Rattus norvegicus: one gene and its partners. The protein of the gene in region 1 interacts with the protein of each later gene in a pairwise test. Links are inferred from orthologs where the notes say so. Each region holds a gene or a part of one and is shown on either strand. Other genes may lie near its edges. The genes, in order: Fam118a, Mob3c and Atox1.

What was found.
Region 2: the proteins of Fam118a (region 1) and Mob3c interact in binary tests that used the Homo sapiens proteins (3 or more experiments, as listed by UniProt). The link is inferred for Rattus norvegicus from reciprocal best matches to the Homo sapiens genes FAM118A and MOB3C.
Region 3: the proteins of Fam118a (region 1) and Atox1 interact in binary tests that used the Homo sapiens proteins (3 or more experiments, as listed by UniProt). The two-hybrid records come from large-scale screens. The link is inferred for Rattus norvegicus from reciprocal best matches to the Homo sapiens genes FAM118A and ATOX1.

The regions. Positions count from the first base shown.
Region 1 is NC_086025.1:118,049,282-118,052,938, reverse strand, and holds part of Fam118a (protein FAM118A), read right to left. Parts: intron 3,159-3,657; coding exon 2,873-3,158; coding exon of another isoform or gene 2,820-2,872; exon of another isoform or gene 1,322-2,819; coding exon 1,289-1,321; exon of another isoform or gene 1-1,288.
Region 2 is NC_086023.1:134,549,388-134,552,644, reverse strand, and holds the end of Mob3c (MOB kinase activator 3C), read right to left. Parts: intron 3,150-3,257; coding exon 2,947-3,149; intron 2,698-2,946; coding exon 2,668-2,697; 3' UTR 628-2,667; downstream 1-627. UniProt on the Homo sapiens protein: May regulate the activity of kinases.
Region 3 is NC_086028.1:40,067,642-40,070,566, forward strand, and holds part of Atox1 (copper transport protein ATOX1), read right to left. Parts: intron 1,271-2,925; coding exon 1,146-1,270; 3' UTR 1,102-1,145; exon of another isoform or gene 1-1,101. UniProt on the Homo sapiens protein: Binds and deliver cytosolic copper to the copper ATPase proteins. May be important in cellular antioxidant defense.

The DNA of each region.
Region 1 (3,657 bases):
TGACAAGGCCATGGGATAGATCTACCTAAACCATTTGGGTCAGCTTGTACCTTGTGCCAGGAAGTGCAGCATACTTCTAGCAAGGCCACACTTCCCAAGCCTCCCAAAACACCACCACCAGCAGCTGGAGATCGAATGTTCAAATGCCTAGGATTTAGGGGAGATCTCTTATTCAAACAACCAATTCCAACAACCAAACATTCTCACTATACAGCACAGCATGTAACTCACACTGAGTCTGTACTGAATGGGCTGTAAGAAAGATTTGATTGGAGAACGGGGGGCGGGGCACTGGGAGCATGTATTTGAAAGGCATGTCTTGTCCCTGGCCTCTTCTCTGTACTCTGCTCTGTCTTATTATGCATAGGAAGAGAGCCATGTGACCACCTGCTGAAACCTAGTGAGTCCTTTCGTTTTCTAAAGTATTTTGTCACTGTGATGGAAAGCCTCCTCAGGCTGACCCACTATCATAGAATCTACTTCCAGGAGCCAGCTTCTGAACCTGACTTTATTGGGCACTGGCCAGGGTTTCCCTGCAGAGCACTGCATGTTTTATCAACTGAGTTACTGCTGCTTTCAAAGATTCTGGGAATCATATCTAAACTACAGCAAAAATATCCTTTTATGCAGACACGGAAAGCAGAATATAGTTCTTCCCACTCCTGGACTGAGTCAAGACTCCCACCACTGACTCAGACTGGCACTAGCTGTCCCTACACTGCCACACTCTGTCTGTCTGGACACACTGGCCCAACAGGCAGCAATGTCAGGGCTGACTAGAGCTCCTGCTCACTGACTGGAACCCCTTTTAGCCTGACTGACTCAGGCAGTAGAGACACCTGGTTAATTTGCCCTCTGGAAGATGCTGGTAGCTGTTGAAACATCAATTTTACAAACTCAGCAAGAGTGTTCACACTTCAAAAAAGTATTAAAAGAAAAAATTATATAGAAGTTCACACACTGCTAACGAACAGGTTACCCTAGATTACTGGATCCTTTACTGATAGCATAATACAAATAGAACATTTCTCTTATTTCCTGTGACTCTTGGTTCTAGGGCAGAATTTATTCTCTGCTGTCAGCAGACAGTCCATGACTAGGCTGTGCTTCCCAGTGGAGGGGATGGACTTTTGTGCCTTTACCGTAGTGGGGACCATCTAAAGGTAGAGGTATCTGTCCTTTCTGTCCTATTTAATAAGGCAAATTATTGAATGTAAGGTACATTTTCATGGTGATGAATAGAACATGCAAGCAAAAATCAGGTGAGAAAAGTCAAGATCTGCTTTACCCAGTAAGGTGGTACTGTCTACTCGCTCAGCATCTGAGAAAAAAAAGAAATAGTCAGTGGAGTCACAGCTTGGAGTATTCATCCTCCCCAGGCCTAGAATGATTGGCAAAGACTACCCTGAGGCCATCCACTGATTTGGCCAGGCTTCTATGGATTGGATACCATGGATCCCTGCCTGTCTCTCTCCCTTCTTCACCTGGCAGGATAGATGCCAGAACTCACTGAGTGGCATGGGAAGCTGCTGGGACTATAGACACAGTGAGGCACACATCACAACAGCTAATGCCACTTTCAGCCAGTAGGCATCCTTGCCCATCAAGAGAGAAAAGAAACTCAGATGTCCTTCAAGACAGGCACAGATGAAAGCCTCAATGACTTTTTACTCTTCTGGTAGCTGCCCGGTCCCGGAAAAGGAGCATCAGTGGTTCAATTGCTTCCTCTAGGTACCCACACTCAATGGCTGGATGCTGGGCTCCCAGGGAGTCATGATTATGGACAAGAAAGAGCTGGGAGATCTCAGAAGAGGGAGGTCTTGGAAGATCCATGCCCACATCTGGTACCAAGACATCTTTGTACATGTTAGTCCAGGATCAAATCCTAACTTCAAAGTTCTGGCACACACAGGGCAAATGTTCACCCCTCTCGGCTGATATCTCTAAAATCACCTAAATAACACAAGCACCGAATTAAAAACTAAGGGCAGTGGAACTTGGTATGCAGGCTACTATTCCCAGCACATGGGAGGCAGAGGCAAACAGGTCTTTATGAGTTCCAGGCCAGCATGATCTACATAGTGAGTTCTAGGACAGTCAGAGATCCATAGTGAGACTCTTGCCTCAAAGAAGATAATAAAGTGTTATTGTTCATGGCATGGCTCTATGACATGAATTCTCTGTTCCCACTCCCAGTAAGAAACTGACTACTATCTTGTTACACAGCTACTCATGATTTAAATCATCTACTAATTATTAGCAGCTAAAGTATGGGAAACTCATGGTTGCTCTACTGTGTCTGTCTCTCACTGGTGCTAACCTCATTCCACCCCTGGTGAGCATCTAGGTTCCCTGTCACCACAAAAAGCCAGTCAATACAGAACTTTCCACGCTTGCTATCACTCATGTTTTATGACACTGAAGTCAAAGCCATTAATTCCCTTGTGTAAAAGTGACTCATCAGCATTTCTCACTATCTGGTCTTTCCTGGCAAAGCTGTGACACCCTCCCCCTCCCAAGAAAGGCCAAAGAGCAGAAATGAGATGCTTCACACCCCAGAGAGATGTGCAGTGAGAGGGAAAAAATGGAAGCCTCATAAACTTTCCAACACACTATCACAGTCAGTAACACTGATCTGATGGCTTTTCTTGGCTACAGTAACCTGTAATTCGGATCACTGTGTCCCACGTTTGAAGCAAGTTCTCAAGTTCTACTTACAGATTGTTACCTATACCAATCACTCCATTTTCTACTTTTAAACTCAGAAGGATTAAAAATTAACTAGATTGGTAAATCTTATAGAATACAAGGTGGAACAGCTAAAGGAAGAACCCATGATTTCTGCTTGGAAAGTAATGACAGAACTCCGCACCTGGACTTCGCTGTTTGCAGATCTGAGTGGCGAGGTCTTGCACATATCCTGGGAAAAGTTCAAAACAGTCCCCATAGGACACTACTTTAATTCCATGCAAAAGCATATCTGCCTGATGCTTAAAGAAATGGTCTTCATTTTCCTTGAGCACTACCATGTAGTGCTCTAAGTCCACCTTATTTGGCACAGAGTACAAGAAGAGCGCTTGGAATATCTGGTCACGCAGTGTCTCTCCGCAGCCCACGAACAGGAATGATTTGGTACGGTAGAGATTTTGCAGGACTTCCTGGAGAAAGCCAATAAACAGAGGACACTCCAGTGAAAATCATCAGCAGGATCTCACAATTAACATAAAGGCCCCTGTGTTCATTTATATCTTATCTTGTACCCACCAGGCTTCCCAAGAGCCATACTGAGGAGTACTAGGAAGACTAGGAGCTCTTGACATACTCAGATCAACCCCATGCAGTGATCTGTGTGCAACCCTTGGTGAAGCTAGGCTGAGATCCATCTCTCAGCTAGGAAAAGAAAGAGAACCAGGAGAGGCAATGTACTGGCCAACCTGGGCAGCATGAATGCACCTCACAGTGAAGTCAGCTTATGGTAGACCTATGGCTCGCCAAGTCAACTCCTAGATTTATATACAATCTTAAGCCATAAAAGAACGGGGTTGGGGATTTAGTTCAGTGGTAGAACGCTTGCCTAGGAAGCGCAAGGCCCTGGGTTCGGGCCCCAGCTCCGGAAGAAAAAAAAAAGACATAAAAGAACATTAAAATGTTCTCAGT
Region 2 (3,257 bases), on another chromosome or scaffold:
CCTTTAGTCACTGGGCCATCTTGCTGGCCTACCACTTCTGACCAATCGATAGAAAGTGATTTACAGAGGGAAGGCCAGGAGCTCAGGTCTCTGCCTCCTAGGTAGAGTCCCTGCTGGCTCTTTTGAAGATATAAGAGGACCTTTGTTAAATCTCCAGGACCAAGCTGCTTTTAACTCCTACTTGGGAGGCTGTGGTTGGGGACAGTGACTTCTAGCTGTCTACTGGGGAAGATGCTCTGGACTGAAAGGGGTTTCTTGTTCTGTGATTGGAGTTGTGGCTGTATTTCCTACTATGTTTTTAGCCATCGGTTCCTCCAAACCACCATGAATATGAACTGGGATTGCCAGTGTCAAAACAAGGAAAGATTTCCCCCTCCCAATGAGTACCTTGAAGGCAAAGTCCTGCACTGTCCTCCCATCCCCTGCTCAAGCTTCTAACTTAGCTTAGTCTACAATTTGGAGCCCTGGGAGTATTTGGGTGTCCTCACACTGGGAAGCTAGTCAGTCATGACTGCGCTCATATGGTTTAGGAGTTTAGGACAGAATGCCTTCTTAGTCCCACTTGTGGTCTCTCCTGTGATCCGCAAAGACCCATGTGGCACCCAGAACACTGCTTCCCACCAGTGGTTGCTTTAGTTTGTATCTTTTATTTTACCAAAAAATAGCAAAATCTTTCCTCTTTCACAAAAATAGATTTCCCTCCCCACCCCTATGGTCCCTTTTCACAGCCTAGATTTCAGAATATATTCTGCAGCCCATCGTGGGGGAATCTCCTACTGTCCTCAGTTCTGAGACACTGCCAAGGCTGCAGGCCAGCATGTTTCCCTTGGGGACATTCCAGGTCCTGTTGCCCTAGAGAGCCCCAGTTGTCTCTCTGGAAGGCAAGGCAGTTCCTCAGACATAAGAAGGGGCCTGGTTTTGGAGGTTTGCCTCAGCATCCAACTCTAGCCAAACGCAGGGTGTGGCAGGGCTTCCTGGCAGCAGGCTAGAAATCGTTACTCAAAGCAGAAACAGTTGTGTCCCGGAGAGTGTCTGACGACTTCTCTTTGCACGTGCATCTTGGTGTCACAATCAGAAGGCCTGAGAGTAGAAGTCAAGAAGAGCCTTGGAGTTTTAACGGGTTTCAGTTTCCTCTGATGCAAGCTGAGAGACAGTGACAATATTCTTGTGTGACTTCTTATTCCCATCCTGGCCTTTGGGGATACAGGCTCTGAAAGGGCAAAACCTATTTCTGCCAGTCCCCCTACCTGTGAGTCTGTGTATAAGGCTCAGCATGGAGATACTGAGTAATGGCTACTGAGTGAGGATCCCAGCCCCTCAGATAGATGTGCTTGGAATTCAAGAAGCCTTGAATGTATCAGGAGGTTGGGCTGAGGCAGGTGTTTTTAGGATGGGAAGGTCTCCATCAGCTACATGATCCTCAGTTCCTGAGATAGAAGAAAAGACTCTGGATTCTCCAATTCAAGTTCCAGTGGCTTCCTGGTCTGGAGGGCTATTTTGTGCTGGCCTTAAGTCATGTCAGTAGGTTCTGGGTTTGAGATCGAAGTATCTTGTGTCCAAGTTTAAAATCCATGGGACCCTGAGGGATCAATCCCAACCCTCGAGAGGCTTACCATTTGGGCTTTTTTGTTTGTTTTTGAGACAGGGTTTCTCTATGTAGCCCTGGTTGTCCTTGAACTCACTCTGTAGATCAGGCTGGCCTCGAACTCTGAGATCCAACCTGCCTCTGCCTCCTAAGTGCTGGGAATAAAGGTGTGAGCCACCACCGCCCGGCTCAGAGGCTTAATGATAGCAGGCCCTTCTGGAGGCAGAGATGAGTGAATTGACAATTCATAGACATCCTTGGCTGAGCAAATCAGCCACATGGTGGTAGGTCAGAGATCTAATGAACTCAGGGCAAAGCTGCATTGTCTAACCTCCACTCAAATGCCAGGGACTCATGTTGGTAGGAGATGGCAGTCTAGAAGATTCAGAGGTATAATTCCATCCACACACACATTTTGTACACTTGTACACACGGTCAGGGTTGGGTCACTAAGCTGTCATTACTCCTATAATGGTCATGGACTTACAGTCAACCTGTCCATCCATCCATCCATCCATCCATCCATCCATCCATCCATCCATCCATCCATCATGAGGGCCTACTATGTGTCTGGAAGGACTTGGATCTCTCAGACAAATCCCACAACCAATCTCTCTCTCTCTCTCTCTCTCTCTCTCTCTCTCTCACACACACACACACACACACACACACACACACACACACACACACCTGCATGCTCAGGTACAGGCACTCACTCTATCATTTTCTTGCCATCACTTCGGCCACATCCATCTTCCCCGATGGATCTGGGACCCGTCATGGTAGGGTGGAAATGAAGTATCAGAACAGACACCTGTTTGCCTCACCCTACTCTTGGACTTAATATGAGGGACTAAACTCCTCCTTTTCTTCTATTGCCCACCTGAAGTCCTCCCTTCTCCATGCATTCTGGGACACACAGACAGACTTCTGAGAAGTCCAGAGGTGTTGGGTCTAGAGAGGGTGCCTGCTCTTCAGTAGGCCTTCACATTTCTCTGCCAGCAGGCTCCTAAGGGTCCCCTCTCCCAGCTGCGCTGTGTTCAGATGGTCCACCTGAGAGGCAACAACATCCAGATCTGGACTCAGTGACAGATCCGTTCTGTCATCTCCCTCTGTAGAGACACAAAGTAAGGAAGGGTTACTTTGACCTCAGCCTGCCGACGGGCAACTCCTTGTCAAATCACGGGGTTTACTGAGTCTGACCCCTCCCCAACCTCAGCTGCAACCATGAACACTGACATCTCCATGAATTCTCTGTAAGAGTACAGAATCCACTGTTAGACAAGTTGTCTCCCCTCATATATCCATCTGGGGATCAAGAGAGAGCACTGGCAGAGAAGGGTAGTGAGACATGGCCTTACCAGCGGCTCTAGTTCCCTCTGGTCCACCAGGCTGAACTCCTGGATGAAGTAGTAGAAGTGCTTATAGCAGGTGTTGACATGTGCCTCCGCCCCCATGCTGAGGATGCTGTCAAAGTGGTGGATGTAGACGTGGACAAAGACTCGGAAGAGTCTCGTCAGGATCTTGGTGCAGACCTGCTGGAAGTTCTTGGGGAAGGGAACTCCTAGGGATGGAGATGAGTGAAGAGGAATCAAAATCCTAGGGGCAAAACTCTGCCCCTCCCCACAGGCAGTCTTTACCCCTCTTCAGCACAGGACACAGACAGGCAGAG
Region 3 (2,925 bases), on another chromosome or scaffold:
TAGCTCAGTGGTAGAGCGCTTGCCTAGCAAGCGCAAGGCCCTGGGTGCGGTCCCCAGCTCTGAAAAAAAGGAAAAAAAAAATGGAGGACGCTTTACTCAAAGGGGAACCTCCTACCCGCAGTCGATTACGGCTGGCATCTGCCAGGGGCCCTCATGGGTCACTGATAGAGTTAGTGCTACTGTAACTATCATTCACACATTTGCTCAGACGGCCTGGCTCCTTCCCTCCTCTGCCACCCACCTCCGTGGGGCTCTGGTCAGGACGCTTGCACTCACCAGGCTTCATGTTTCTCAGTCCCAAAGAGGACACAAACCACCAAAGTGACCACAGTAACTCATGTGTCAGGCACACTGCAAGAGTGCTGGACACAATGAGGAGTGCTAGGTGGGCAGGCAACTGTCCTGCTTCCTGATGGAAGGGCACTGGCACTGGTCCACTTCCTGCCTCCCTGGGACCCATAAGGTGGAAGGAAGACAGCTTAGACGGGCCATTGGCTCTACGAGGCTGGGCTGGATCCACGTCCGGCTCCAAGTGGAAGGAAAGGCAGGGTGAACATGAACTCATGCACGGGAGTGACAGGCTTGGAACATAGGCGTCCCTGTGAAGGGACTGTCCCTTCACCAAAGTAAGAGGCTCACCATTCCAGAAGGGTCACACACTTTAAACTTAAGTCACGCTGACCAAGCAAGGTACCATGGGACTCTGGGAACATAACATGGAGCTCTGTCTGCTCCCAGGAGGCCTTCAAGCCCTCCGAACTTCTCGTTTGTACTGGACAATGATGTGCTTGGACCCTTCCAGAGTGGGGCAGTGGGCTGAACACATCAGGGCACCCTCCTACCTAACTCCAGAAGCCCAAGCTTAGTCTGAGCACCTCAAATCCAGGAATCCCAGTTGCACTGTGCTCTAAAACTAGAGCATGCCAACTCAATGATGAGAAGGTTTGGGGTTTTTCTATTACAGATGCCCTCTGGGTGAATTTAGGCAAAGATTTCAAATCTCAAATTACAGTCTGAACTGCTTCTGGGCTCAAGTCTTTCAGAAGAGGGATCCCAGAAGAAGCAACGGGCTTGTTTGACAATGGTTTGGACTTCACCCACCTGCCTCTTCAGTTTCTATCCGGAAGGACTCGCCCAGGTCCTGGCTACTTGGGGCCAAGGTAGGAGACCGCTTTTCCTGTTTTGTTGAGAGTTGCCAGCAGGATGTCTGAGCTGTGCTCAGACTCAATGCAGACCTTCTTGTTGGGCAAGTCAATGTTGAACTCCACTCCTGCAGGGAGAAGGAGGGATGTAGGAGGGGGAAGCGGGACCCCTCCACTCACTGGAACAAAGAGGTCAACCTCCTAAATTATTCCTGAAACACCAGGCTTCTCCAGGAGCCAGGGAGCAGCAAGCTCTTTCTGTTTTAGGTACCGTGAGCATGGCAGGCTCTGCTGCAGGCTCTGATCCATGTGTAAGGAGTTGTGGGGATGGGGCTTGAATCCAAGGCTTCAAGTCCCAGTCGAGCACTCCACTCCTAAGCTCTTTCCTCAGCCCCACAGGTGAATTTTCTTCCCTCCTTCCTCTCTTTCCCTCCTCCCCACTTCCCCAGTCCTACCATCACTGTTACTTCACTTTTCTATGCCCACGCCAACCTCCCAATTTAGTAACACAGAGCCTTCCTTCCCTTTCTTTATAATCTTATTTAAAACATTAAAAAAATTATGTATATGTTTGGGCCTGCGTGTGGGTATGTTCATGAGTAGAGGTGTCCCTGAAGGCCAGAGGTGTAGGGTCTGGAGTTTTAAGTGGGTATGAGCCACAAGATGTGGGTGCTAGGTCCTCTACAAGATAAGTGCATACCGGGGTTGGGGATTTAGCTCAGCGGTAGAGCGCTTGCCTAGCGAGCGCAAGGCCCTGGGTTCGGTCCCCAGCTCCGAAAAAAAAGAAAAAAAAAAAAAGAGAAGTGCATACCTTTAACCATTGAGGCATCCTCTCTGCCCCCAATTTACTTATTTTTATGTATATGAGTGCTTTCTTGCACGTATATCTGTGTACCGCACGGGTGCAGTGCCCATGGAGGTCAGAAGAGAGCGTCGGTTCCCTGGGCTGTGAACCACTGTATGGTGCTGAGATCAGAGTCCAGCTCCTCTGCAGGGGCAGTGAGTGCTCTCATCTCCAATCCCTTTTATTTCTTTTCAAAATTTTATTATATTTTAATAAGAGCATAGGTGAGTGTGTGTTAACAAGTGTGTGAAAAGAATCTGTATACAAGCGTGTGTATGTGTGTGAGCGTATGGGGGGATGAATGTGAGTGTAAGGAGGGTAGATAGTGTGTCAGTGAGCATAAGTGAGAGTACATGTGAGTGAGGAAAATGAGCATGTGTGTGAGTGAGTGTGTGTGAGTGTGTGTGTGTGAGTGTGTGTGAGTGTGTGTGTGAGTGTGCGAGAGTGTGTGTGTGAGTGTGTGTGCGTGTGTGAGTGTGTGTGTGATGGTCAGAGGGCAAAATAAACTCACTCTTTCTCACTGAGTATCTAATGCTTGTGCTCTCTCTGTCTCTGTCTCTCTCTTAATGTGGTACTGGGTCTCACGTGCCTATCCTACCATTGGAGCCTTGGGGCTCCCTAGTCTTTGTGTGTGTGTGTGTGTGTGTGTGTGTGTGTGTGTGTGTGTGTGTGTGTGTGTGTGTTACTGGTACATAGGGCATCAGACACACCCAGCTCTGTCACTCTGTCACTGAGCTTCATTCATCCCCAGGTTTCTTGATACTTTTTATTTTGAGGAGGTCTCACTAAGCTATCCAGAGTAGCTCTGAATTCTGCAAACTCACTCTAAAGTCCAGGGAGGTCTGAGCTTGTCACTTTCCTGTCTTAGCTTCCTGTGTAGTGTGATGACAGGCCTAGTTCTTAGTTTGTTTATTTTTGATTGTTCGTGGTTTTCATTTT